Macaca fascicularis: one gene and its partners. The protein of the gene in region 2 interacts with the protein of the main gene of each other region in a pairwise test. Links are inferred from orthologs where the notes say so. Each region holds a gene or a part of one and is shown on either strand. Other genes may lie near its edges.

Region 1 (9,767 bases), on a different chromosome or scaffold from region 2:
GAGGCTGAGGCAGGAGAATGGCGTGAACCCGTGAGGTGGAGCTTGCAGTGAGCCGAGATCGCGCCACTGCACTCCTGGGCAACAGAGCGAGACTCCATCTCAAAAAAAAAAAAAAAAAAAAAAAAAAAAAAACTTATGCAGTGAAGTCACGTAATTTTTCTGTTAATAACGTGTCGTCGTTCTTATCCTTCCTCCCCCTGTTGAAAAGTTTAAACATGAATCTGCAACAACCTGACCACATTCTATTTTAAATCATTTTCTGCCAGGCGCGGTGGCTCACGCCTGTAATCCCAGCACTTTGGGAGGCCAAGAAGGGTAGATCACCTGAGATCAGGAGTTCAAGACTAGCCTGACCAACATGGTGAAACCCCATCTTTACTAAAAATAGCAAAATTAGCCGGGCAAGGTGGCGCATGCCCATAATCCCAGCTACCTGGGAGGCTGAGGCAGGATAATTGCTTGAACCCGGGAGGCAGAGGTTGCGATGAGCCGAGAACGTGCCATTACACTCCAGCCTGGTCAACAAGAGTGAAAGTCCGTCTCAAAAAAAAAAAAAAAAAAGGCCGGGCGCAGGGTTCACACCTGTATTCCCACCACTTTGGGAGGCCAAGGCAGGTGGATCACGAGGTCAGGAGATTGAGACCAACCTGGCTAACACGGTGAAACCCTGTCTCTACTAAAAAATACAAAAAATTAGCTAGGCATGGTGGCAGACGCCTGTAGTCCCAGCTACTCGGGAGGCTGAGGCAAGAGAATGGCGTGAACCTGGGAGGTGGAGCTTGCAGTGAGCTGAGATCGCGCCACTGCACTCCAGCCTGGGCGACAGAGCGAGACTCCGTCTCAAAAAAAAAAAAAAAAAATTATGTTCCAATGAGGTTAGTATCCCCTGAAGAATGGGAGACTCCTATCAAAATTCCACTCCCCAAACTCTAATGGTTCAAAATCTCCCAAGTAACCAAAATCCCCAGACACTTTTAGCCCATTTAATAACTATGTATATACAGAAATATTATTTTCAAATACAAAATACCCCAGTTAGGTAATAAATGCTATATACTAAAAGAAAAATACTCTGCCATAAGGAAGTTGTATCATTTACTCATTACAAGTTCTTTCATTTTCATGTAATTATTCCAAAATATTGGTTATCAGCCAAATAATCGAGAAAGCAAAATTTTGGAAAATTACAAGAAAAAAATGTAACATTAAAAATATTAAAGATGTAAAATGTCTGTCTAAATAATAGCCTTCTGGTTTTTGGACTGTATTAACTTAATGTGAACATAACATGAAGTCAAACTAAAAAGTCAATGAAGTTTTGCATAGTTCATCTTTTCTACAGACTTGCTGCTACACCACCATTCCACAGCTAAACCCAGTCTAGTTATCACTGTGAAAGCAAAAGTACACTACAGAAACAGTAAGGTTATGGATAGGCAAATCATATTGTGTTGGTTTGTTTGTTTTTTGAGACAGTCTCACTCTGTTACCCAGGCTGGAGTGTAGCAGTGCAATCATAGCTCACTGCAACCTCAAACTCCTGGGCTCAAGGGATCCTCCCACCTCAGCCTCCTGAGGAGCTGGGATTATAGGCGCCCGCCACCATGGCTGACTAATTTTTTTTATTTTTTGTAGACACAGGGTCTCCCTTTTCTTTCATCCAGGCTGGTCTCCAACTCCTGGTCTCAAGCAATCCTCTTGCCTAGCCTCTCAAAGTGCTGGGATTATAGGCGTGAGACACTGTGCCTAGCCAGCAATCATTTTTAAAAGGAAAAATCTGAGTTTACAACAAAACATAGCAAAAAAAGGAAATTCCCTTTCATTGTGTATTTTGTTTCTCATTGTATATCTCTTTAGTTGCTTCTCTTAAAAATTTAATAGATTTTAAATTAAACAATCTGATCACATAAAAGCCAAGAAATTTAAAAAGAGACACAAAAAGAAACAATGGATCAGTAATAGCTAAGTCATCAATTACTCTCTTGGCTAATGAGGGAATCTTGGGTGGAGTGACCAAATCCAGCTTAGTGGCTGGTCAGTCAGTTGGCTGGCTAACTTAACACAAAAAGACAGAATTGTTCAGTGAAATCATTTCACAAAAGAAAACCTTTTAACTTTGTGGACTATTCCCCATGGATCCCTACACCACAGGCCTTAGAACATTCCCAACTTTTATCACAGGGATATCTTTGCAGTAAAAACACAAGCCGTTGTTAGGAACTAACAAAATAAGAATTCACTTACAACATCTAACCCATCTCCTTTACCGTAGAAACAAGAAAAGGCACAAGAAGACACTGGTGAAGGAAATGCAAATTGTTGCAGCATGTGCTTCAGTGGAGAATATTTAAAAGTCCGCCTTCCGGCCGGGGGCGGTGGCTCACGCCTGTAATCCCAGCACTTTGGGAGGCCGAGGCGGGCGGATCACAAAGTCAGGAGATCGAGACCACGGTGAAACCCCGTCTCTACCAAAAATACAAAAAACTAGCCGGGCGCGGTGGCGGGCGCCTGTAGTCCCAGCTACTCGGGAGGCTGAGGCAGGAGAATGGCGGGAACCCAGGAGGCAGAGCTTGCAGTGAGCCGACATAGCGCCACTGCACTCCAGCCTGGGCGACAGAGCCAGACTCCGTCTCAAAAAAAAAAAAAAAAGGGCCGGGCGCGGTGGCTCAAGCCTGTAATCCCAGCACTTTGGGAGGCCGAGACGGGCGGATCACGAGGTCAGGAGATCAAGACCATCCTGGCTAACACGGTGAAACCCCGTCTCTACTAAAAAATACAAAAAACTAGCCGGGCGAGGTGGCGGGCGCCTGTAGTCCCAGCTACTCGGGAGGCTGAGGCAGGAGAATGGCGTGAACCCGGGAGGCGGAGCTTGCAGTGAGCCGAGATCCGGCCACTGCACTCCAGCCTGGGCGACAGAGCAAGACTCCGTCTCAAAAAAAAAAAAAAAGTCCACCTTCCTAGACAGAGGGTTAATTTACACAGGCATCTTAGTCACGCTGGTTTCTTTAAATCACACCTGACACAATTTTTAGTTAACCTTTTGTTTTTGCTTTCATTGTTGGACTTTAAATGATTTGATAAACCAGCTGACTATCCTGTATATATAAGTCAAGTTAACTGCTGTCATTGAAAACCTTGTTAAAGCTTACACATTCTTAATTCACTTAACTTTAAAAAACCAATTTTCATTCAATTTTCTCAGCAAATTCTAGGCATTAAGACCCTGATTCATCTACTGACACCTTAAACTCTAACTTGTTGGGAAAATTCATGATTCATTATTCCAATCTATTGTCTACAAATATATAGTACCTATATTCCAAAAATGGGAAGTAATAGATTAATACCATTGTCTGTGAACCTAAGGACTCCCAAGAACTACAAATCGTAACCTGCAAAGTATTGCCCCCACTGAAAAGTGATCTTCTAAGAAGTCCCTTAGGAGAGAATTTTAAGTTATTCTGGGTTACGAAAACCCTAACAATCATTATAAAAGCAAAGGGTCATGGCTTACACGGCCATAACTCCAAGTTTACATACAAGCTATCCTCAGTTTGTTAGCATTGCCCCTTTAACCCTCAAAAGGGTCTTGTTTTGAGGCAAATCTCATCTGTGGTGACAGAAGTCAGAATCGTGGTTGCCGTGGGGAGGGGGAATGTGTTTACTGAATGGAAAAGATACAGGGCCTGAAAATGTTCCATATCTTGATCTGAGTGTGGTTATCAGGGTGTATACATGCATAAAAAGTCATTGAATTGTACCCTTAAGATCTTTCTGTAGGTTATATATACCTCAATAAAAAATACATATAATTTTTAAGCACATTGAAATACATTGTTAAAAATCTATTCAAACAATCATATAAAACCATTCTAGATCTAGCTACCAAGATATTTTTTCCAAATGAATTTTAATAAAGACACACATTGCGAGCACTTTTATGTAGAACCTATCAAAATATACACTGTGATTTCTAAGAATCTTTCAGTTTAAAAAGCCACCGAATTTTCGAACTGAAAGCACCCTCAAAAATGATCTGTTTATCTTAATGTTGCAAATAAGGAAAATCAAAGCTACAACGGGTAAGAAAAGTGCCCAAGATAAGGCAGTTAGTCAATTACAACGGTAATAACAGAACTGTTTCCTGATCTCTGGCCGTTTCTACCAGGCCGTTACTTTCCTGACATCGCAAACAAATCTTAACTCCGAATCTACCTATGGCCTAATTCAACGAATGCCTCAAAACGCTAGTCAACAGGCCTCAAAGTGTACACATAAAGGCACATTCATCTTCCTTCATCCTTTCAAGCCAGTTGACAAATTAATGATTATATGTTCAGGCACTTTATCCAGATGCAATAAAATTAAGTATGACATCTTAGAAAATGTGGTTCAAGAGAAGACACACGCGGGGATTAACAAAATACATCTCACTTCCTTTCAAATCTCTTTGATGGTTACTTGGTTCTCAAACACAGATCAGTGCTAACAGGACTCAAAAACACCAATTGGGACCATCAACCAGTGCTGCTTCGGGCCACCCGCTGGGAACACCCCCACCTGACCCGAGCGTCCACCACTCCTCGAGCATAAGCTCTGGGGGTGACCTGTGCCTGCCGGCTTAGTTTTAGACCCCACGGGAACAGCTGACATCTTGTGAAAAACTTAACATAACGTACATCCTTTCCGCGGGAATTTATTTCTGTTCGCACAAGGCGTTTCTGCTAAGCACAGAGCAGGCCTTGCTTCCCAGGACGCCACTCGCCCCTCCACAGCCTCCTTTACAGCGTCCAAAATCGGACTTTAGGAACAGAAATCGAAACGGTCGCGGACCTCCCGAGCGGCAGGTCGGGGCGCTGCCGGGTCGGCGCAGGGTCCGGCGGCGGTGCCCGGCGGGCCGCGGCACGGGAGAGGCCCGCTCACTTCACAACGGCAGCCCGGAGCCACCGGTTGCGGCGGCCGCTAGACGCTCCGCCACCGCGCGGCGACCGCCCGGGCCCTCCGAAGTTCCGACCGGCCGCGCGCCCGGCCCCAACTGCGGGTTCGCGCCCCGCCCGGAGCGAGCCCGGGGGGCGGGTCCGCGGGGGCTCGGCGGGCGGAGCGCGGGGCGCGCGCGGGGAGGGGCGCGCGGCGGGCCCGGCGCGCCGGGGAACTTGGGCGCCCGCCACTGCCGCCGCCCGGCCACTTTCCTTTCACGCCTCCTGCGGGCTGACGCGCGCCGCGCTGCCTGCCAGGGTCTGACGGCTGCCGCCGCTCTCCGCCGCGGCGAGGCGCCCAGGCGCGCCCCTGCTGCCGGCCGGCCGGCGCGCGGGACCGCGGGGCCGCGCGCGGGCGCCGCGCTCCCCCCGCCCCGCCCCCGCCCCCAACGTGCCGCCGCCGCCGCCGCCCGTTGGCGCCTCAGCCCGCGCGCCCGCCGGCGCCCGGCGGTTTCCCGTTGGCAAAGTTGCGCGGCCGCTTCGAAGGGGACGCCGTGCGGTCCCCTGCCCCGGCGCCGCCGCCGCCCCTCCAGGCCGCCGCGCGGGAAGGCCCAGCCGGCGGCCCCGCTTTTTTACCTGCCGGGAGTTTTCGCGCGCGCGCTCGCTCGATCGCTCGCTTTTCCCCCTCTCGCGCTCGTTTTCTTTCTTTCTTTCCTTCTTTTCGCTCCTCCGCGCGGGCGCTTTTTCCTCCCGCGCTGCCCGCGCTCGCCCGCTCGCGCCCTCCTTCCTGCTGGGTTCGGCGGAGCGGGGCGGCCGGCAGCTCTCCCCGCCCCCCTCCACCCGCGCTCCGGCGGAGGCGGCGGCGGCGCTCCGCGCTCCGACTCATTCCAATATGGCACGGACGCAGGGCGCATGCGCCCGCGCCCCCCCACCCCCAGCTCCGCGGTCCTCCAGGCAGCCTGCGCCCCTCGCGCCGCGCCCGTGGAGCCCCCGGGCCCGGCTGCCCCGCTCCCGCCCCAGCGCCATCCCTCCCGACTGGGGCCACGCGGGAGGCAAGGACTCCGCAGGCTGGTGTGCCGGGGGTCCGGCGCCGCGGGCCACCCACGCCCCCAGCCAGCAACTCGGCGCGGACTGCTCCGAGGCCGTGGCGCAGGACACGCGGCGGCGCCTCGGGCCCCCGACGGCGCCGTGGCCCCGAGCTGAATGGCCCGGAAGAGGAGACCTTTCCCCGGGAACCCAGTGCCCGCCTTGGCCCGACCCCGACCCAGGAGGGAAGGGCCCCCGCGCCTCACCTCGGGTTGTGGACGGAGCGGTGGGGATCCCAGAGGGGTTCACGGGTCGGACCTGGCGTACTGGCCCGGCGAAGAGCGCCGCTGTCGCCCGCACGTGACCGGTTCGGACAAGATGGCATGAGCAGAGAAGCGGCCGGATCCCAGATGCGCGCGTGCCGCCGCCGTGGGGGCTGCGCCCGTTTGCCTGCCCGGCGTCGGGGATCGGGCGCGCCCTCTGAGACCTGAAGGGACACCCAAGTGCCCCCTGTCTGCGAAGTCCGGCGCGGGCCCTTCGGCGCCCCCGGTGTCTCTAGGCTTTCGCAGGAGGCGCGCTGTAAATCTTGAGTCTTCCTGCAGCGAGGGGGCACAGGACAGCTAAGAATTGGGACGAAAGAGCCCAGAGCCCCGAGCCCCGGGAAGAATCAGAACCTCGAAGGCGGCTTCGAGCTGGCCCCGCAACCCGAGGTGACCGTGAGCGGTTACGTTGCCTGAACTCGCCCCCTTCTCCTGAGCGCAGGTGCCCGTGGGACATACACCCGCCCACCTGCTCCGGAAAGTTCCCTCCAGGAGGGAGTTCCCGCGCCACCGAGACCCGGGAGCTCCCGATCAGACTCCCAGGCCCTGAAAGGAGTTCTCGGACAGGGCCCAGAGGCGCCCCCACCGCAAGAAGAAAGTCTAGGGTTCCCTCCGTGTGCCAGGCGCAAGCTCAAGCCACCTCCCTCAACCACTCTGGGAAATATCCCACTTCAGGAACTTACTCAAAGTCACGCCGCTGGCTGGATTTGAATCCAGATTTTTTTTAGCACCGCTGAAAAAACAATATGACAACCAGAAAGAGAACAATCTAAAAAGAATACAGTAATCCATATTATTACAATGAAACTTTTCACGACATGAAACATATATATACACTGTATATAGTTGCAACAACACTGTTTTTGTTACTACTTTCACTACCATTTTTATTTTGTTCACATGATTCATTTTTAAGGTGTGCAGGTGTCCTGAACTATTCACTCAGCCCCCTAATGTTTTTGGTTCTTCACAGTTGTTTGACGTATCCTTGAATTTTGCACTTGGGACAAATACCTGGGAGTGGAAAGGCTCCCAGGTAGAAGGCTGTGAATGGCCAAGTAGTCTTGGCTTACAGCGTCATGTTTTCACCAAGAGCTGCCCCAATTATTCTACCGCCTCCAAAAAACAAGTGTAAGGAGTTTAACACACTTTTAAACATTGAGTGCCATTTCCCCCCTACTTTAATAGTCTATTGCTAGTTCAAGGTTACTTGGCATTTCTTAGGTGACCAAACATGAATTTTTTTTCCATGCATTTATTATCTGCATTCCCTCTTCTGTGAATGTTCTGTTCATATCTATCTTCTGGGGACTTGAACCTCTTCTAACTTTAAACAAGCTTTTTTTGTATTATAGATATTACTCCTTTGTCGACGTTGATGCAAATATTTTCTAGCCTGTTCTTTCTTGTTTTATTCTAATGTTCAATGTGTCATTCTAGTGAATCCTTTGTGGTTTTTTTAATTGCTTCAATTCTGACAAAGTGAGCTTTCTGCTGCCCATCTGATAGTCTTTTTTCTGCTAGTTTTGTACAATTTCATTTCATATTTCATTCTCTGATGATTATCCTGATTTTATTTTGGTTTATTTATTTGGAGTAAAATATGGACATAACTCACTACCATTGTCATCGGTTGTTATTAATTCTGCAGTTACCATTTCTTAAATAATTATTCACCAGACGTGGGGACTTACACCTGTAGTCCTAGCATTTTGGGAGGTTGAGGCAAGAGGATCACTTTAGGCCAGGAGTTTTAGGCTGCAATGAGCTGTGATTGTGCTACTGCACTCCAACCTGAGTGACAGAGCAAGACTCCATCTCAAAAAATAAAAATAAAAATAATTTTAAAAAAAGACTGGGCACGGTGGCTCACGACTGTAATCCCAGCACTTTGGGAGGCCGAGGTGGGAGGATCACGAGGTCAGGAGATCGAGACCATCCTGGCTAACACAGTGAAACTCCGTCTCTACTAAAAACACACAAAAAAATTAGCCAGGCGTGGTGGCAGGCACCTGTAGTCCCAGTTACTGGGGAGGCTGAGGCAGGAGAATGGTGTGAACCTTGGAGATGGAGCTCACACTGAGCGGAGATCGCGCCACTGCCCTCTAGCCTGGGCTACAAAGCGAAACTCTGTCTCAAAAAAAATAATAAAAAATAAAAAATTCCTTTGTTTAGTAAAACCTACTTTTACGCTAGACTTTTGATTTTGATTAATATATTTCTGAATTCTCCATTTCCTTCTGTAGCCCTAAGTTTGAGCAAATACCATGTGAATCTAAATATTGGTTCTTTGGAATAGGTTCTGACATATAAAAAGGCTTGATTCCCTCTCATGCCCTTATGAGGTCTTCTTTTTTCAGAGTATCAGTTGATATCCACACTGGTTTATGTGTCTCTATGCATCCTACCATTAAGAGGACTGGCTTTGAGGAGGGACCACCCAGGTTCAACAACCAGCCCTGTGACCTTGGCAACTTACCTATCCCCTCTGGGCCTTCGGGTCTTGGTCTGTAAAATTAGGATAAGAGTAACAGCTTCCTCCGGCCTGGCACAGTGGCTCACACCTGTAATCCCAGCACTTTGGGAGGCCGAGTCGGGTGGAGAGGTCAGGAGATCAAGACCACCCTGGCTAACACGGTGAAACCCTGTCTCTACTAAAAATACAGAAAACTTAGCCAGGCGTAGTGGTGGGCGGCTGCAGTCCCAGCTACTCAGGAGGCTGAGGCAGGAAAATAGCATGAACCCGGGAGGCGGAGCTTGCAGTGAGCCGAGATCGCGCCACTGCACTCCAGCCTGGGCGAGAGAGCAAGACTCTATCTCAAAAAAAAAAAAAAAAAAAAAAAAAAAAAAGATTAACAGCTGCCTCACAACCTCAACACCTAGGACATAGTAAATGTTTTCTAAATGTTAGCTATTGTTAATGATTTTTTTGAGACAAGAGTCTCGCTCTGTCACCCAGGCTGGAGTGCAGTGGTGCAATCTCGGCTCACTGCAACCTCTGCTTCCTGGGTGCAAGCGATTCTCCTGCCTCAGCCTCCTCAGTAGCTGGGATTACAGGCGTGCACTACCACACCTAGCTAATTTTTGTATTTTTAGTAGAGACGGGGGTCTCACCATGTTGGTCAGGCTGGTCTTGAACTCCTGACCTCATGATCCACCCGCCTCGGCCTCCCAAAGTGCTGGGATTACAGGTGTGAGCCACCACGCCCAGCCTTTTTGAAAATTTTTTTTTTTTTTTTTTTTTTTTGAGGCGGAGTCTTGCTCTGTCGCCCAGGCTGGAGTGCAGTGGCCGGATCTCAGCTCACTGCAAGCTCCGCCTCCCGGGTTTACGCCATTCTCCTGCCTCAGCCTCCCGAGTAGCTGGGACTACAGGCACCCGCCACCTCGCCCGGCTAGATTTTTGTATTTTTTAGTAGAGACGGGGTTTCACCGTGTTAGCCAGGATGGTCTTGATCTCCTGACCTCGTGATCCGCCCATCTCGGCCTCCCAAAGTGCTGGGATTAC
Region 2 (9,693 bases):
CTTTTGGTAAGCTAATTCTAAAATTTATCTGGAAATACAATATAAAATAGTCAAAATAACTCTGAAAAAGAGAAAAATCAGAGGGCTAACACGTGGTTTCAAGACTTACTATGAAGCTACAGTAATCATGACACTACCAGACTTTATAAATACTGTCCATTCGGCCACTCTAAATTTACAAATTTTTTTTACTTCAATATTAAATTCATCTTAGCTTACTATAATTTTACTTGATAACTTTTTTTTTTTTGGAAACAGAGTCTTGCTGTGTCACCCAGGCTGGAGTGCAATGGTGCGATCTCGGCTCACTGCAACCTCTGCCTCCCAGGTGATAGTGATTCTTCTGCCTCAGCCTCCCAAGTAGCTGGGATTACAGGTGCCCGCCATGACACCTGGCTAATTTTTTGTATTTTTAGTAGATATGGGGTTTCACCATGTTGGTCAAGCTGGTCTTGAACTCTGGACCTCAGGTCATCTACCTGCCATGGGCCACCCAAAGTGCTGGGATTACAGACGTGAGCCACCACACCCAGCCTACTTTATAACTTATAAATGTTTAAAACTTTTTGACTCTTTTGTAATAACAACACACAAACACATAGCTGTACAAAAATACTTTTCTTTCTTTGTATCTTCATTCTATAAGCTGTTTTCTGTTAAAATTTATTTTTCTTTTTAAACTTTTTTGTTAAAAACTAAGACACACACACATTAGCCTAGGTCTACACAGGGTCAGGATCATCAAGATGTCACTAGGCAATAAAAATTTTTTTTTTTTTACCTCCATTATAATATTATGGGACAACCACAGAATTAATATATGGGATCTGTTATGTGGTGCATGACAAAATAGAGAAAGATCCAGTTACGGCCTGCATGGTTTGGTACTGTCCAACCTTTTTTTTTTTTTTTTTGAGACGGACTCTCGCTCTGTCACCAGGCTGGAGTGCAATAGTGCAATCCTGGCCCACTGCAACCTCTGTCTCCTGGGTTCAAGCAATTCTCCTGCCTAGCCTCCTGAGTAGCTGGGACTATAGGCGCGTGCCACCACACCCAGCTAATTTTTGTAGAGACGGGGTTTCACCATGTTGGCCAGGATGGTCTCGATCTCTTGACCTTGTGATCCACCCGCCTTGGCCTCCCAAAGTGCTGGGATTACAGGTGTGAGCCACCACACCCGGCCTTGTTCAACATTTTCATAAATGCCTTGTATGAGGACACAAATGTACATATTTATCAAACCTGCAGTTGACACAAAGCTGACAGGGATACCTAATAACGATGGATGGCTGAATCAGGATCCAAAACGTCTTGACAGGCTGCAACTCTGTGTCGAATCTAACAAGATGAAATTTAACAAGGACAAAGGTAAGTCTGACACTTAAGTCCAGAAAATCAGTACAAGGCAGGGGAGGTCTGACTTGATGACAATTCAAGTAGAAAACAAGGTTTTTTAGCCGACTGAAATCATAGCAAGGGTCAAAAACAAGGGAGTAAGAAAAAAGTGAGGTTTAACTTTATAAATATTATTTCTTTTCAGCTCAACATAAACTTTTAGATAGATTTGAAAAACACAACAGGCCACGTCAGGAGGTAGTACACATTACTGGAAATCTTCAAGCCAAGTTTGATAATGACTCTGGATGTTGAAGAGGAAGTAGTGGAATCTCATATAAGGTTTAATAGAAGAAATGACCCCAAATGTTGCCTAGATTCCATAGTTTACTTAATATGGGTATATGTAAGTACAGTTTACAAGGTAAAAATAATTTCATTCCAATTGATTTAGTAGACTGACTAGTTAAGTCTCTGAAAGAGCTACTCAATGAGGAGTTTGTATTTAGGCTTTTTTCCCCGTTTTCTTCTATTAGTCCAAAGATCTTTTTTTTTTTTTTTTTTTTTTTTAAGAACGATAAGGCCAGGCGCGGTGGCTCACGCCTGTAATCCCAGCACTTTGGGAGGCTGAAGCAGGCAGATTACCTGAGGTTAGGAGTTCGAGACCAGCCTGACCAACATGGAGAAACCCCGTCTCTACCAAAAATACAAAATTAGTCAGGCGGGTGGCACATGCCTGTAATCCCAGCTAAAGGAGGCTGAGGCAGGAGAATCACTTGAACCTGGGAGGTGGAGGTTGTGGTGAGCCAAGATTGTGCCACTGCACTCCAGCCTGGGCAACAACAGCGAAACTCCATCTCAAAAAAAAAAAAAAAAAAAATGATGATAGTACTTTCTCACTTCTCATTACTAACTTAAAAACTATTTTAAATTTGTTGTTATAGAAGTAATATATGCTCCTTGTAAATAAAATTAAACCTTTTTGATGAATATAAAATGAAAAGTAAAGGCTCCTCTCCTGCTTTCCCCCCAAATACATTCCCCAAACTCTCTTGGACTTCGCAAGCCTCTAAAGGCCCTCCTTTGCTGAATCCCTTGGAGACTTACACTCTGTGTAAGTCTGTCCGGAGCTGCACGCCCCGGCCATAGCGAATAATAATTAAAGATTAAACGCCTGAGCTATATTCATTTCCACCCCACACCTTCTCCCTAGATTTACCTTCTTCCCTGTATTAATACCGCCATTAAAAGATGGCGCTCTTCCTGCTTCTTCTTCATTCATTTTTCCCACACCCGCGAAAAGACTACCTGACTGCGCAGGCGCAACATGACGTCCGACCGGAGAAACCGAAGCCTATCTGGCCACACCTTCCGCAATGAGGTCATTTCCGCCTTAGCCCAACCCCTTCCCCTCCAAATGTATATAAGGCATTGCATTACCACCATTAAACGAGACTTGATCAGAGCACTGTCTTGTCTCCATTTCTCCTGTCTCTTGTTCCCCAAATTCCCACCCCCTCCTCCAGGGACTGCTCTGACTATCCCGTGGGCCGGGATACGTGGCGCCCAACGTGGGGCAGTATACCACAACGGTTTTTACAGTATGCCACATGTTTGCTTCCCAACAGGACCAAAAGCTCCTTAAAGGTAAGATTTGTCTTTTACAAATCATGTAACTCATGTACCAAATACAGACACATTGTAGATATAAAACATTTAACTTTTGATACTTCTGAAACAATAAATAGCAGTATTATTCAGATGCTAAGTCTTATTTTCACTTCATATTTAAAGTGGACATTAGTTTTGCCAATCCTGCATTCATTTACCTCCTCTGACCTATCTACCCTGGTTATCATTGGCTTATGGTCATCCATTCAGTTGTACTGAAAGGAGAATAAGATCTCTAAATCAATCAGATATTCACAATCCCACAGGCATAGTTTAACATTGGGCATGTAATCCAATCTAGACCAAAGAAGTACAATCAACTTGAAGCTGAGAGAATATAAAGGACCCTGGATACTGCAGCCATCTTGGGAGCAAAGAATAGAGCCTATTCAAATATGGAGCCAACAACCAAAGAGCAAGTGTGAGAGACAGACAGGGAGAAACGGAACCTGGTGACATCATTTAGCACTCCCTTTAAGTATTATCATCCCATTTTTGATCTCAGAATTGTCTGACTTAATGGTAGGCACAGTGGCTCATGCCTGTAATCCCGGCACTTTGGGCGGCTAAGGTGGGATCACTTGAGATAAGGAGTTCGAGACCAGCCTGACCAACATAGTGAAACCCCGTCTCTACTAAAAATACAAAAATTAGCAGGGCATAGTGGTGGGCACCTGTAGTTCCAGCTACTCGGGAGGCTGAGGCAGGATAATCATTTGAACCAGGGAGGCAGAGGTTGCAGTGAGCCAAGATCACACCACTGCATTCCAGCCTGGGCAACAGAGTGAGACTCGGTCTCAAAAAAAGAACCGTCTGACTTCAAGCCTTCTTTCTTCACCAAGCTTACTACTCTAACTCCCTAAGTCTGTCTGTACATTTGAGGAACTCTTCTTATCAGGCCTGAAAGTGTAGATGGAAAGGAAAAGAGAAAAAAAGGGATTATTTGAATTAAAAATATATAAAAAGATATAAATACACATATATATACTAGCAGACTTTGAGCTATATATGGACATGAAAATGGAGATGGCATGAAATATTTTATGAAAAAGAGGCAGATGTTTGGATGTGCAAAGGCTGTGCAAAAGCTTTATAAGAAAGGGCATCTGGGGTGACCCTTGCATTATTTGTCAGGTGTGAATCTCTTCTGCCACTCTCTCTTATTCATTAGGCGTAATGGCCATCTTTCAGTTCTTTAAAAAGTAAGTTTCAGCCTCAAAGCAATTATGCCACTATCCGGATGCTCTTTCTCCAAATCCTCTTATGACTGTTAATTTTTCACCCTTTAAATCTCTGTTCAAATTCCACCTCTTCAGAGATGCCTTTTCAGTCCAACCAACCTAAAGTGGGCCTTTCTCTCTTTCCATCACAACAGTTTGTTTCCTTCAAAGCTGTTATCACCAGCTGTATTTACATTTAGTAGTTTATCGACTGTTTCCATCACTAGAATGTAAGCTCTCTGAAAGCAAGGATTTTTGTCCTAAAAAACACCTCTTTTTCTTTATACCCAATGTCTGGCACAGAACGGTAGGTACTAGATAAATTAATATTTATTGAAAGAATGAGTACCAAAAAGTGATAAGATAGCTTGGGAGGGCAGTCGGCATTGTAGGCAGGATTCCTAGGGAAGGCGCTAGAATAAGGAAGTAGGAAAAGGCAGCAGGGATGGACGCTAAATAGGAAACTGAAGGTTTACGTCGGCCGGCATAAAGGTGTCGGACCGGGGCTTCAGGGCTCCCTTGTCGACGCGTGGGGTTGGCGGAGGGGCATAAATCACTGAGTGACCAACTGTGGGCGTTCCCTTCAGAGAAACCAAACGCGACAGTTGTCTTCAAACCCCGCTCTGTCCCGTGCCGCAGACTTTACACGGCTGTCTTCCGTGAAATCGCTAACCCACGGTCACCAGACTTATCGCTCGGGCCCGAGCCCCTCGGGAGCCAGAAGCGTGTTTGAGAAACAGACATTCTCCGCCGGTCCCAACAGGGGTCCGACACTAGCCCGTTGACGCGCGTTTCACCGCTCCCAGCCCGCCGGTGGGCCCGAACCGGATCCTTACTTACGCTTGCCTCCGAGCTATGAGCCGATGCATGGGAGTCGCCATCTTAGCGCGGTCAAAGCCGGCCGCGCAGGGTTTTGGGAAACTCCTCGGAAGGGCGGGGCTTCCAACCGGCAGGCCGTAGACGTAGGCGAGGCCAGACAGGCCTCTAGGGGTTCTGGGGCAGCCTCCGCGGCAGGATCTCAGTGCCGGCTCGGGAGGGGAGGGAGGGGAGGGAGGGGAGGGAGGGGAGGGAGGGGAGGGGAGGGAGGGGAGGGAGGGGAAGGAGGGGAAGGGAGGGGATGGAGGGGAGGGGAAGGGAGGGGATGGAGGGTCGGAAGAGGAGGGGAGGGGAGGGGCTGGTGGATCGGGAGGGGCCGGTGTCTCCAGTGTGGGTCTCGGGTTCTCTGGCGGAACCGGGTTTCAAAGGATGATTACAGGCAAGAACATTATCTGTGGAAAATGAGGACCACATTCTCGAACGAGGGATACACATACAAAGACAAAGAATGAAACTGTGGTGTTCAGAAACTTAGAAGTAGTCTGGAGAATAGAAAGGAATTAGTTGACCAGCAATTGAAAGAATGACTTTAGCAAGCCATAGAGTGCAAACATACACGTTATTTCTGTTTTGTATGTATTTCACAGGGTTGTTACAAGTACTAAATGGGACTGTGTAAAGCTGCTTTGTCAAGCAGAAAAGGACTATACAAATATTTTACAATATTTTAGCTGCACCTACATCTAATGTCAGCTCACGGAGCTATTATTCTCTTAAAACACGTTCTCTGAAATATATATAACTTTCTGAAGTGTATGTGTGTGTGTGTTTCCGGGTCATCCATATTTTTTCCTTTTTTTTTTTTTCCATTTGAGACAGAGTCTCGCTGTGTCGCCAGGCTGGAGTGCAGTGGCGCCACCTTGGCTCAGTGCAACCTCCAGGTCCCTGGTTCAAGAGATTCTCTTGCCTCAGCCTCCCGAGTAACTGGGATCACAGGCACACACCACTATGCCCAGCTAATTTTTGTGTTTTTACTAGGGACGAGGTTTCACCATGTTGGCCAGGATTTTCTCGATCTCCTGACCTCATAATCCGCCCGCCTCAGCCTCCTAAAGTGTTGGGGTTACAGGCTTGAGCCATCGCGCCCAGCCATATGTTTTCAATTAATAATTAACACTTAAAATGTTTTAGGAGCTGAGGACAGAGCATTTGAACAAATAAAATCCGTGTACACATGGAACTTTCTACACACCATGAATGAAAACTATTCCCATGGGATAAGTACTCTTAACGAAAAATATCTCAGAGTAAGGGATTAAAGAGTGATTAGGAGTTAGGGAGAGTGATGATGTGACCTTTGAGCACAACTTGTTCTTCAAAAATCTTGGGCTCTTACGTGTTGTGTTTTCTAGCTTGCTTTTTTCATTCATCAGTGTATTTATGAAAATGTTTCCCGGCCAGGCGCAGCGGCTCATGCCTGTAATCCCAGCACTTTTGGAGGCCGAGACGGGTGGATCACCTGAGGTTGGGAGTTCCAGACCAGCTTGACCAACATGGAGAAACCCCGTCTCTATTAAAAATACAAAGAAATTAGCCGGGCATGGTGTTGCATTCCTGTAATCCCAGCTACTCGGGAGGCTGAGGCAAGAGAATCACTTGAACTCGGGAGGCGGAGGTTGCAGTGAGCCGAGATCGCACCATTGCACTCCAGCCTGGGCAACAAGAGTGAAACTCCGTCTCAAAAAAAAAAAAAAAAAAAAAAAAAAAGAGGCCGGGCGCGGTGGCTCAACCCTGTAATCCCAGCACTTTGGGAGGCCGAGACGGGCGGATCACGAGGTCAGGAGATCGAGACCATCCTGGCTAACACAGTGAAACCCCGTCTCTACTAAAAAAATACAAAAAATTAGCCGGGCGTGGTGGCGGGCGCCTGTAGTCCCAGCTACTCGGGAGGCTGAGGCAGGAGAATGGAATGAACCCGGGAGGCAGAGCTTGCAGTGAGCAGAGATCACGCCACTGCACTGCAGCCTGGGCGACAGAGCGAGACTCCGCCTCAAAAAAAAAAAAAAGAAGAAGAAAAAGAAAACTAACTTGGATAACTAGGGGAGCAGGGTGACCACTCATTTTGTAAAGAAGAGTGGCTATGCAAGGGGATTTGAGAATGGCCATTCTGGGCCTCTGTGGGTAAGAAGCTCTGATTCTCCAAATGAAAACAGGATTGGCTCTTGAGGGCATGAGTAGTGCCTGAAACTCCCCAGAATGAGGTGAGAGCTGCTTTCCTCAGTTTATTTCCACTTTCCAAGATGACCTAAAAACAAAATGCTCAAAAGTTGTGTCATGTTTCCTTATCTTCAGATGAAGCTTCTTGGGTTCCTTAAAGTCCTTGGGTTTCGATGCAGCACTTTGCTGTAACATAGATCATAAGGCTGTGTGATTGTGAGTCCAGGATTTGCTGGCTCCTCTGGTAATTTAAACTAGTCTGCAGTAGAAGAGAAGGAAATTGACATACCAAGAGAAAGAGAGATGAGAGACAGAAAAAGACCTACCTAGACTTGATTTGCTTTTCCTTTGATTATTTGGGGTTATCTCAGCTTCCTCAGTATATTCCTTTTTTTTTTTTTTTTCTTTTTTTTTTTTTTGAGATGAAGTCTCACTCTGTCACTCAGGCTGGAGTGCAGCAGCATGATCTCGGCTCACTGCAACCTCTGCCTCCCGGGTTCAAACAATTTTCGTGCCCCAGCTTCCCAAGTAGCTGGGATTACAGGCATGTATCACCATGCCTGGCTAAATTTTTTGTATTTTTAGTAGAGATGGTGTTTCACCATGTTGGTCAGGCTGATCTCAAACTCCTGGCCTGAAATGATCTGCTCGTCTTGGCCTCCCAAAATGTTGGGATTACAGGTATGAGCCATCGCACCCAGCCTGTATTCCTTTTTTTATTAAGATAGTTCAAGTTAGGTTTCTGTTTCTTGACCCCAAATGACTCTTGACTTTATCACCAGAGGTAGGGTTTATCCTCATTTTACAAAAAAAGGGACTGAGACTCAGGCATGTTAAGAGATGTGTCCAAGGCCCATAGCCTTGAGCTTTTTCCATTACACATCTGTTCCTCCCCTTCAGCCAGTTTTGTTTGAGATAACATAGAACCAATTTCCTTATGTCAATTCAGATTCGATTGTAAGAAAAACAAAACAAAACTCTGGCTAAATAAACAATGAATTTATTGGAAGTTTATTGGCTAGCTCATAGTATATAAGTAATTGAACACCCAGGCCTTGCAAAGATCTTGAATGAGAAAAGTTCAGATCTCAGGACTGGGAACTTATGTGCTTCCTTTTTAGACAATTGCCAGCAAGCAGATCATCAGGTTCAACCCCCTGCAGTATCAGTGTACCTAATGTTGCCTCGGCTTGAGCCGAGGTCACACCACTGCACTCCAGCCTGGTTGACAGACTAAGACCCTATCTCAAAAAGAAAAATACTAAATCAAGATTAAGTTTACATGGTGTGTAATGCAAAATAAAACAGTAATTATAATTTGTTTTATAAATAAGAATGGCAAGATAGCCTGTCTCCACAAAAAGCAAATATAGCTTAAGAACACTTTAGGGCTAGTCATGGTGGTTCATCCCGGTAATCCCAGCAGTTTGGGAGGCTGAGGTGAGTGGATTGCTTGAGCCCAGGAATTTGAGACCAGCCTGGGCAAAATGGCAAAACTCTGTCTCTATTATATATATATATATATATGATAGAACTATATTATATATAATTTTAAAATTTGTTTTTATTTAATTTTATTTTTGAGACAGAGTCTTACTCTGTCACCCAGGCTAGAATGCAGTGGCGCGATCACAGCTCACTGCAACCTCCACTTCCCAGGTTCAAGCCATCCTTCCACCTCAGCCTCCCAAGTAGCTGAAACTACAGGCATGTGCCACCACACCCGGCTAGTTTGTGTGTGCGTGTGTGTGTGGGCGTGCCCAGGCTGCTCTTGAACTCCTGGGCTCAAGTAACCCACCAGTCTCAGCCTCCGAAAGTGCTAGGATCACATGCATATTAAAGCTTGCTTCAAATTTCCAAGTATTGCCAGCATTTGTAAATGTGTCCACTTTAGGTAATACAGTACACTTGTTCATTTATTATATATGGGGCCAGGATTATTTTTGTGACAAAATATTCATGTTCTATCTTTGCATTTAAAAAATACTGTTTCTGGCCAGGCGCGGTGGCTCACACCTGTAATACCAGCACTTTGGGAGACCAAGGCGGGCAGATCACCTGAGGCCGGGAGTTTGAGACCAGCCTGACCAATATGGAGAAACCCCATCTCTACTAAACACACAAAATTAGCTGGGCATGGTGGTGCATGCCTGTAATCCCAGCTACTCTGGAGGCTGAGGCAGGAAAATCGCTTGAACTCGGGAGGCAGAGGTTGTGGTAAGACGAGATCGTGCCACTACACTCCAGCCTAGGCAACAAGAGCAAAACTCCATCTCAAAATAAAAACAAAAAACTGTTTCTTTTCCATTTTCTCTGATGAAATTTTATTAGAGGTCATTTAAAAATCGATGTTCTGAAGGGCTATTTTTTAAAATTTTAATTTAATTTAATTTTGAGATGGAGTCTTGCTCAGTCGCCTAGGCTGGAGTGCAGT
Region 3 (9,730 bases), on a different chromosome or scaffold from region 2:
TTACAGGTGTGAGCCACTGCGCCCAGCCATGGATTTTCTAATAAAATTAGAAGCTAGCTGTAAAATATAAGAAGATCTCAGGCATTTATTTCATAGAACTCTTTCCAGAGAAGTTATGGATGCAGTATAGCCAACTCAAAACACTCCCTCTTCCCTGTTCCTCCTCAAGCCCTGCACTCAATGCCCAAACCCATGGGTTCCACCTCAGAAACATCTGTTAAGTCTACTCCTTCCTCTAGCCCCATGTCCCCAACTGCAGCCTCATTTCCTGCTTTCAGGAACTCAGGTTCAGGAGCTCCTTTCATCGTACACTTTTTGCAACTTGGCACCTTTGTAAAACTACTGCTTCTGCCTGGAATCCATTGGGTTAAGAGCAGAGACTCAGAAGCCAGGCTGTCTTGAGCTCCAATTCTGACTGAACCTCTGCCTCCCGGATTCAAGCGATTCTCCTGCCTCAGCCTCCCGAGTAGCTAGGGTTACAGGCATGAGCCACCACGCGCGGCTAATTTTGTATTTTTATAGAGATGGGGTTTCTCCATGTTGGCCAGGCTGGTGGTCTGGAACTCCTGGCCTCGTGCTCTGCCTGCCTCAGCCTCCCAAAGTGCTGGGATTACAGGCGTGAGCCACCACGCCTGGCCCACAGTTTCTTAAATATACTGATTTGTAGGGACACATGTAAAAAGTCTTAGCTGAGCACGGTCGCTCATGCCTGTAATCCCAGCACTTTGGGAGGCTAAGGCAGGTGGATCACCTGAGGTCAGGAGTTTGAGACCAGCCTGACTGACCAACATGTTGAAACCCTGTCCCTACTAAAAATACAAAATTAGCCGGGCATGGTGGCAGGTGCCTGTAGTCGCAGCTACTTGGGAGGCTGAGGCAGGAAAATCACTTGAACCTGGGGGGTGGAGGTTACAATTGCGCCACTGCGCTCCAACCTGCGCAATAACAGCGAAACTCCATCTCAAAATAAATAAATACATAAATAAAAATAAAAAGTTTTAGGAAAAAAATTAAAAAAAAATAAGTATTATTCAATAAATTTGGGGTAAAGCCCCATATTACTCTCTCATAGCTGATGGGCAGCCAGAGTTAAAAAAACATAAGCTAAAGGCCTATATCCATTGACCCAAGGGAAGACAAAAAAGATTCATGCCACTCTGCCTGACCCAATTTTGAAGAGTTCTCCCACTTAAAAAACATAGGAATCACATGGTGTCTTCCTCAGTGAAGCTCTGGTTCCCTTCTATAAAATTGATACACTTTAAAGGGTCTGTGGAACATTAGCAAAAGTTGTAGAATGTGCCATACCCAGCCAAGGTGATAGCACAGGTGAACAGAGACCAGGAGAAATATCTTTATTTGAATAGGACCTGAGACAGCATATTGGGCTAAGGAGGAAAGGTAAGGTTCCAAAATGGCGGTCAAAGCTGATCGACCAAAGGGACTCTACTTCCCAGCAACTTTGCAGTTAGTGCAACCAACAAAAGGCCTGCTGGGGAATGTATTTGCCACTAAATTCCCCAAGTATGGCAACATTACAAAAAAGATAGAGGTTTTTCATCATAATTAAATTTCCGCAAACCTCCCCAATCACAAGTATTATAAGCGGAAGTAAAAAAATCACATTTTACAGATCTCAAACTTGTCTTCAACATTTAGTTCATCATTTTCAAAAAATAGCTCCCCTGCCTAATTCATTAGCTATATGATCTATCCAAGCAGCAACAAGATGGCCAGGCCATGGCAATCCTCTTCCCATTTCCCCTAGCCACTCAGGGCTCAACAGCAGGGTGAGGCTCAGGTGGAGGTAGGGGGTGGGGAGCACAAGGGCTACTTTCCCCCAGTACAACATGGCATCTGAAGCTTGATGGGAGAGCAGAACTGGTGAGACTTGAGGGAAGGGTCCAGGGCCTGTATTCAGTCAGAATCACTGCTGGAAGAGGAGGAGGAAGAGGAGGAGGAATGCTGCAAGGGGAAAGGGGAAAGAGGAAAGAAGCATCAGATCCAAATGACCTTTCATCACTCCGTGGGCCATTCTTTGGTGCCCTACCCCTCTACCCAAGTATCCCTTGCTTCCCTAAGAAGGTCAGGAGTCTTGAACTGACTGTACCTAAACAAAAGCAAGGGTTTCCTTCAGCAGTGAGCACACAGGAATGGATTAAACCATCCTAAATTATCACACAGAATTTTAAAAATTTAACATATTGCCTTTGGAGCAAATTTCCAACTTTCTTTACCTGAATCGATGCCTAGGCAAGGAATAAATTACAGGCCCAAGCATAGTATGGTGCCAGGAAACAGCAGTTACCTTATAAATGCTTATTTATTAGCTGCATGCAAAGTCCTATGATTTTAAGAAATTGGATTCTAAGAAGACAGTAGAAACAGCAGTTGTGTGTGCACGTATCTCTACTTTTTCCAAAGCACAATAGGAAAAAGTGGGGAAGATGTAAGAAAAGGCTGGGAGTTCTATTAAATGTTCCTTAAGCACATACTCCCAGCAATGCTACAGTTATTAAATAAAAACATTTTTCAGTCTCTCCAGGGTAATTTCTCCCCCTTCTTCCCCACTAAATCTCAATTCTCTTCAGACTTCTTTTTTTTTTTTCAGATGGAGTCTCACCCTGTCGCCCAGGCTGGAGTGCAATGGCATGATCTCAGCTCACTGCAACCTCCACCTCCTGGGTTTAAGAGATTCTCTGCTGGGTGCGGTGGCTCATGCCTATAATCCCAGCACTTTGGGAGGCCGAGGTGGGAGGATCACAAGGTCAGGAGATGGAGACCACGGGTGAAACCCCGTCTCTACTAAAAATACAAAAAATAGCCTGGCGCGGTGGCTCAAGCCTGTAATCCCAGCACTTTGGGAGGCCGAGACGGGTGGATCACGAGGTCAGGAGATCGAGACCATCCTGGCTAACACGGTGAAACCCCATCTCTACTAAAAAATACAAAAAACTAGCCGGGTGAGTTGGCGGGCGCCTGTAGTCCCAGCTACTCGGGAGGCTGAGGCAGGAGAATGGCGTAAATCCGGGAGGCGGAGCTTGCAGTGAGCTGAGATCCGGCCACTGCACTCCAGCCTGGGCGACAGAGCGAGACTCCGTCTCAAAAAAAAAAAAAAAAAAACAAAAAAAAAAAAAATTAGGCGCTGTGGCGGGTGCCTGTAGTCCCAGCTAGTTGGTGGGGGGTGCTGAGGCAGGAGAATGGCGTGAACTCTGGAGGCGGAGCTTGCAGTGAGCCGAGATTGCACCACTGCACTCCAGCGTGGGGGACAGAGCGAGACTCCGTCTCAAAAAAAAAAAAAAAAGAGATTCTCCCGCCTCAGTCTCCGGAGTACCTGGGATTACAGGCACACAGCACCATGCCCAGATAATTTTTTGTATCTTTAGTAGACATGTTTCGCCATTTGGCTAGGCTGGTTTCGAACTCCTGACCTCGTGATCTGCCTGCCCTGGATTCCCAAAGTGCTGGGATTACAGGTGTGGACCACAGTGCCTGGCCTTCTCTTCAGACTTCTATCAAATACCCAGAATCAGGAATTAGAATCCACAAGGCAAATAAATTTACTGGGCAGTTAAATGTAAATGGAGGCCTCATCAAGATGCAGATTGGTTTAATCCTTCCAGAGTTGTCCTCAGAGTTGCTTTTATCCTTGCACTTTTTTTTTTGAGATGGAGTCTTGTCTGTCATCGAGGCTGGAGTGCAGTGGTGAGATCTGGGCTCACTGCAACCTCCGCCTCCCGGGTTCAAGCAATTCGCCTGCCTCAGCCTCCTGAGTAGCTGGGATTACAGGCATGCGCCACCACACCCAGCTAATAATTCCCAAGTGCTGGGATTACAGGCATGATCCTTACTAATTTTTAACAGTCCTCTAAAACAAAGATACTCAGCCTTGGGGCTGAGTATAAAACCTCCTTAGTCCTAGGCTGTTAGAGGCTGAGTCACTGACTGCTCTTGTCCTCACTTTTTCTGCTGGATGATAGGGCAAAGGGCCCATGTAATTAACACAAGGCCCTAAGAACACTGAAAGAGAGAAAGAACTCCAGGAACTAGGGCCATATTATTATTCTGTTAATTATTATAAGACTTTGCTTTGTCAAAGGAATGACTTTAATTGATGTTTTGATAATGTCAGTGAGGGGGTCCAACTTGCTAGAATATGCACCTGCGGGGAGGGGAGCAAAAGTTCTGGGAGAGAGTAGGGCAGAAAAGATTTGGCTTTTGATTCTAAAAATCTATTTTAAGGCTCACCCTAGCTCCCCCCAGATAGGAGAAGCCTGATGTTTCTTTTCAAGATAATCAGATTCTTCCCAGTAGCAATCTTTTACAAAAAGGAAGAATCATCGACCAGAGTGACACAATCGTCATCCCCCACGTCCACAGAATGTGAATCCCCCTCACCCAACCCCTGCCTACCTAGTCCCTCTGAGGGGGCACCCCTTCCCTAGCCAGGCTCCAGAGGGTACTGACCTTGCCACGCTTGTGGTGCTTGTGGTGCTTGTTCATCTTTTTATGAGCTTTCTTCATTTTCTTCTGCATCTTCTTGTCCACTATCACTGCTGGTCCGACCATGCCAGGAGCCAAGGGATTCACAGGAGGGATTCCAGGGGCAGGAGGTGGGTATGGAGGAGGGTAGGGACCCAAGGGTTGGCATCCTGGATACCCTGGCTGTGGCACAGGATGAGGGGGCCCACCTGGGGGGAAAGCTGGATTGCCCTGGGGAGCTCCTGGGGGAGGAGGACAGGGGCCTGAGGGAAAGAGTGGGTTAATAGGTGGTGGGTGGGCAGGATTGGAACCTCCAGGGCACCCGATGTTGGGGGTATATGGATTTGGCCCTGGCTGCCCTGGGGGAAGAAGCAGATTATAAACATTAGTATTCCCCAGAGTCTCCGACAACAAACAACAAAAAGAAAGAGATTCTTTCTCACCCAATACTTAAAGGGAAATGGAAAAGTGACAAAGGAGAATAGAAGGTAGGGGAGACAAACCTGAGTTGAGGATAAAAGGGGAATGTCCCCGTAAGGGCTGGAGAGAGGAGGGAGACAGTGAACTCTGAGGAAGACAAAAGTACTGGTCAGGCCGGTGGGGCGTGGTGGCTCAAGCCTGTAATCCCAGCAGTTTGGGAGGCCGAGGTGGACAGATCACATGAGGCCAGGAGTTCAAGACCAGCCTGGCCAACATGGTGAAACCCCGTCTCTACTAAAAATACAAAAAGTAGTCGGGCGTGATGGCGCACGCCTGTAATCTCAGCTACTCCAGAGGCTGAAACAGGAGAATCGCTTGAACCCAGGAGGCGGAGGTTGCAGTGAGCCGAGATCGCGCCACTGCACTCCAGCCTGGGCGACAGAGACTCCGTCTCAAAAAATAAATAAATAAAATAAAATAAAAAAGCACTGGTCAGCTGTAGACTAAGGACTTTGCTTTTGCGGGTGTGGCGGGTCGGGGATGGGGCAGCTGATAGAGAAACTTCCTGTTACAGAGTCCATCAGAAAAAGGGTTAGGGGTCGTACAGAACCCCCAAACACCTACCGGCATTGGGATTCCACATGTTTAGGTGTGTCCTCCAGCCTGAGGAGAAAGAAATGAGGCAAAAAAGATGACAGTCTAGAGGTAGGAAGTGGACTTAGCACCGGAGCCCAGCCCTAACGTCTTCCACCCCACAGTAGGCTCTCCCACCTGGAGAACTACCACGACTTCCACATAAGACACATCTCTTTTCTGGCTGGGCGCGGTGGCTCACGCTTGTAATCCCAGCACTTTGGGAGGCCAAGGCGGGTGCATCACGAGGTCAGGAATTCGACACCAGCCTGGCCAACATCGTTAAACCCCGTCTCTACTAAAAATCTAAAAATTAGCCGGGCGCGGTGGCGGGCGCCTGTAATCCCAGTTACTCGGGAGGCTGAGGCAGGAGAATCGCTTGAACCTGGGAGGCGGAGGTTACAGTGAGCTGAGATCGCGCCACTGCACTCTAGCCTGGGCAACAGAGCGAGACACCGCCTCGAAAAAAAAAAAAAGAAAGAAATGTCTCTTTCCACTTGTTTCTTCGCCCTCAATACCTACTTGGTTCCTAACACAGGAATCTAGTTCCCAGGGCCCCTCCACCTAGGTTGAAGCGTCTAACTCTTCGCAAGAGGGCATAGCCCGCGAGTCTCGGCACCCCCATCATTCATCCCCCTTTCCTGGAACTGAGTCCGGAGGCCTTTAACCACCCACAGAGTAAGAAAGGATCTCAAACAACTTTCTCCCTGGGGAGGACCTCACCTCAGGCTAAGAAAAGGATACGCCTGGAGGCGAAGAAGGAAGTTGCTCAAGAACCTCAAATACTTAAATAAATGGACACAGCCCAATTCCTCCAAAAAAGAAAAAAGGCAAATGAAGATCCTAGCCCCAAGCTGCGAAGGGGCTCTTAACCCAGCAATGGGAAAAGGAATAAACCCATGGAATTCAGATACCACGTCACCTTTCCACCGCCGCCTGGACTTGATGCGTTCTTCGCAGTCTCGGCTCTTACTTCCTAGTCACACCTAGTCACCCAGACCCCGTGCTTCGGTACCCGCCTCTGCTACTGCCTAATTGGTAATTATGTGGCCACTCGGCTGATGATTGGACAACAAACTAATCAATCACTCTGGTCCAACTGAGGAGGAAACGGTTGCTCTAGCTGCAGACCGGAGCCCTTTACGACTAGGCAAGTACTGAGAAGCCGGAAATCTCCTGGGGGCGGAGCTAGGCGGAGAGCGCTAGAGGGGGCGGGGCCAGCTGCTGGGCAAAGTCCTAGAGACACCGAGAAGAAACTCTGCCCTTGCTCTCTGCTAGTCATGGTTCACTGGGTGCAATACCTTGTAAAGTGAATACACTATGGTAAGTGTTGTAATACAGATATAGACAGAGTTCTCGGCAAGGGCAGAGGAGCTGCTGAGTCCTAGCCCCAAGCCTCAATGTTCTCGGCTCCCTCTTACACTCGCAAGGGAAGCAAACAAACATTCTTGCGGAAAATACAGAGATTTCATAATCTCTCCCAGGATTCCCTCTCTCAATTGCATAGCTCCGCCATCTGTCAAGAAGCCTAAACCAGAAACCAAGGAGGTCTTCCGTGATCCCTCTGTCTCCTTCACCTCCCTTACCCCAAATTACCAGTTTTGTCTCACAAATACATCTGGAATCTCTCCACTTCTCTCCGTCTTCCCTGGTCTAAACCTCCCATCATCTCTCGCCTGGATTCATTTCTCCCCTGAATTGCTACAATGGCCTCTTTTTTTTTTTTTTTTTTTTTTTTTTTTTTTTTTTTTTTTTGAGACGGAGTCTCGCTCTGTTGCCAGGCTGGAGTGCAGTGGTGCGACCTCAGCTCACTGCAACTTCCGCTTCCCGCGTTCAAGCGATTCTTCTGCCTCAGCCTCCCGAGTAGCTGGGACTACAGGCGCGGCTAATTTTTGTATTTCTTAGTAGAGATGGGGTTTCACCATGTTGGCCAGGATGGTCTCCATCTCTTGACTTCGTGATCTGCCTGCCTCGGCCTCCCAAAGTGCTGGGATTACAGGCGTGAGCCACCGCGCCCAGACTTTTTTTTTTTTTTTTTAAAGAAAACAATACAAGTGGCCAGGTACATTGGCTCATGCCTGTAATCCAAGCACTTTGGGAAGCCGAGGCGGGCGGATCACGAGGTCAGGAGTTCGAGACCAGCCTGGCCAATATGGTAAAACCCCGTTTCTACTAAAAATACAAAAATTAGCCGGGCGTGGTGACATGTGCCTGTGATCCCAGCTACTTGGGAGGCTGAGGCAGGAGAATCGCTGAACCCGGGAGGCGGAGGTTGCAGTGAGCCGAAATCGAAATCGTGCCACTGCACTCCAACCTGGGTAATAGAGTGAGACTCCGTCTCAAAAATAATAATAATAAACAACGACAACAAAAAAATCACACACAATACAATTAACAAACTTGACCTGATGAACATGCATTGAACCATGCTCTCAAAACTTAATGACTGCTAATTCTCCTTAAGCATGCTTAGAGCATTTATAAAAATTGGTCACATTCTAAGTTAAGCATGTCTCAACTGATGCAATTCAATTTTGAAAGAACTGTTCAATACATATTCCCTGACCACGATGTAAAATATAAGCAAACATACAGCTAGATTTTTTTTTTAGAAAAAAAATTGTTTAACTGTCATCCAGGCTGGGCACAGTGGTTTATGCATGTAATCCCAGCACTTTGGGAGGCCGTGGCTGGAGGATCACTTGAGGTCAGGAGTTCAGGACCAGAATGGGCAACTTAGTAAGACATCATCTCTACAAAAATAAAAAATTAAGGCCGGGCGCGGTGGCTCAAGCCTGTAATCCCAGCACTTTGGGAGGCCGAGATGGGCGGATCACAAGGTCAGGAGATCGAGACCATCCTGGCTAACATGGTGAAACCCCGTCTCTACTAAAAATACAAAAAAACTAGCCGGGCGAGGTGGCGGGCGCCTGTAGTCCCAGCTACTCGGGAGGCTGAGGCAGGAGAATGGCGTAAACCCGGGAGGCGGAGCTTGCAGTGAGCTGAGATCCGGCCACTGCACTCCAGCCTGGGCGACAGAGCAAGACTCCGTCTCAAAAAAAATAAAAATAAAAATAAAAATAAATAAATAATAAATAAAAAATAAAAATTAGCCGAGAGTGGTGGTGCACGCCTGTAGTCCCAGCTACTCAGGAGGGTAAGGTGGGAGGATCACTTGAGCCTGGGAGGCAGAGGTTGCAGTGAGCCCAAATCACACCACTGCACTCCAGCCTGGGTGACAGAGCAAGATTCAATCTCTAAATAAATAAATAAATTGCCTTAAAATAACCACGGAAAGAATAAGCCATGATGGAAATTAAATACTTAGAAATAAGTAGGTGGGCACGGTGACTCATGCCTATAATCCCAGCACTTTGGGAGGCCGAGGTGGGTGGATCATGAGGTCAGGATTTTGAGACCATCCTGGCCAACATGGTGAAAACCTGTCTCTACTAAAAATACAAAAATTAGCTGGGTGTGATGGCACACGCTGTAATCCCAACTGCTCAGGAGGCTGATACAGTAGAATCACTTGAACCCGGGAGGCAGAGATGGCAGTGAGCTGAGATGGTGCCACTGCACTCCAGACTGGCAACAGAGCAAGACTCCGTCTCAAAAAAAAAAAAAAAAAAAAAAAGGAAGGAAGGAAGGAAGAAAGAAGCAGGCCGGGTGTGGTGGCTCACGCCAGTAATCCCAACACTTTAGGAGGCTGAGGCAGACAGATTCCTTGAGTCCAGGAGTTCAAGACCAGCGTGGGCCACAGGGGAAACCCTGTCTCTAATACAAATACAAAAATTAGCCGGGCATAAAAATACAAAAATTAGCCGGGTGTGGTGGCTCACACCCAGTTGTCCCGGCTACTCAGGGCTGGGGTGGGAGAATCACTTGAGCCTGAGAGGTGGAGGTTGTGATGAGCCAAGATCATGCCACTGCACTCCAGCATGGGCAAAAGAGCACAAAAAGAAATAAGCCATAATGAAAATATTAGATCCAAAATTTGTGGGATATAGGCAGAACATGGTAGCTCATGCCTGTAATCCCAGCATTTTGGGAGGCCGAGGCAGGTGGATCACATGAGGCCAGGAGTTCGAGACCAGCCTGGCCAGCATAGCAAAACCCCGTCTCTACTAAATATACAAAAAAATTAGGCCAGGCGGGGTGGCTCACGCCTGTAATCCTAGCACTATGGGAGGCT

The links.
Region 1: the proteins of ZCCHC10 (region 2) and SFMBT1 interact in binary tests that used the Homo sapiens proteins (3 or more experiments, as listed by UniProt). The two-hybrid records come from large-scale screens. The link is inferred for Macaca fascicularis from reciprocal best matches to the Homo sapiens genes ZCCHC10 and SFMBT1.
Region 3: the proteins of ZCCHC10 (region 2) and PRR13 interact in binary tests that used the Homo sapiens proteins (3 or more experiments, as listed by UniProt). The two-hybrid records come from large-scale screens. The link is inferred for Macaca fascicularis from reciprocal best matches to the Homo sapiens genes ZCCHC10 and PRR13.

What each region holds. Positions count from the first base shown.
Region 1 is NC_088376.1:116,168,705-116,178,471, forward strand, and holds the start of SFMBT1 (scm-like with four MBT domains protein 1), read right to left. Parts: upstream 6,500-9,767; 5' UTR 6,209-6,499; intron 5,811-6,208; exon of another isoform or gene 5,553-5,810; intron 5,038-5,552; exon of another isoform or gene 4,680-5,037; intron 1-4,679. UniProt on the Homo sapiens protein: Histone-binding protein, which is part of various corepressor complexes. Mediates the recruitment of corepressor complexes to target genes, followed by chromatin compaction and repression of transcription.
Region 2 is NC_088380.1:139,540,966-139,550,658, forward strand, and holds the start of ZCCHC10 (zinc finger CCHC domain-containing protein 10), read right to left. Parts: upstream 5,120-9,693; 5' UTR 5,108-5,119; coding exon 5,067-5,107; exon of another isoform or gene 5,063-5,066; intron 1,339-5,062; coding exon 1,243-1,338; intron 1-1,242.
Region 3 is NC_088385.1:60,244,404-60,254,133, reverse strand, and holds PRR13 (proline-rich protein 13), read right to left. Parts: upstream 6,500-9,730; 5' UTR 6,458-6,499; intron 6,348-6,457; 5' UTR 6,259-6,347; intron 5,566-6,258; 5' UTR 5,546-5,565; coding exon 5,527-5,545; intron 4,842-5,526; coding exon 4,468-4,841; intron 1,966-4,467; coding exon 1,918-1,965; 3' UTR 1,341-1,917; downstream 1-1,340. UniProt on the Homo sapiens protein: Negatively regulates TSP1 expression at the level of transcription. This down-regulation was shown to reduce taxane-induced apoptosis.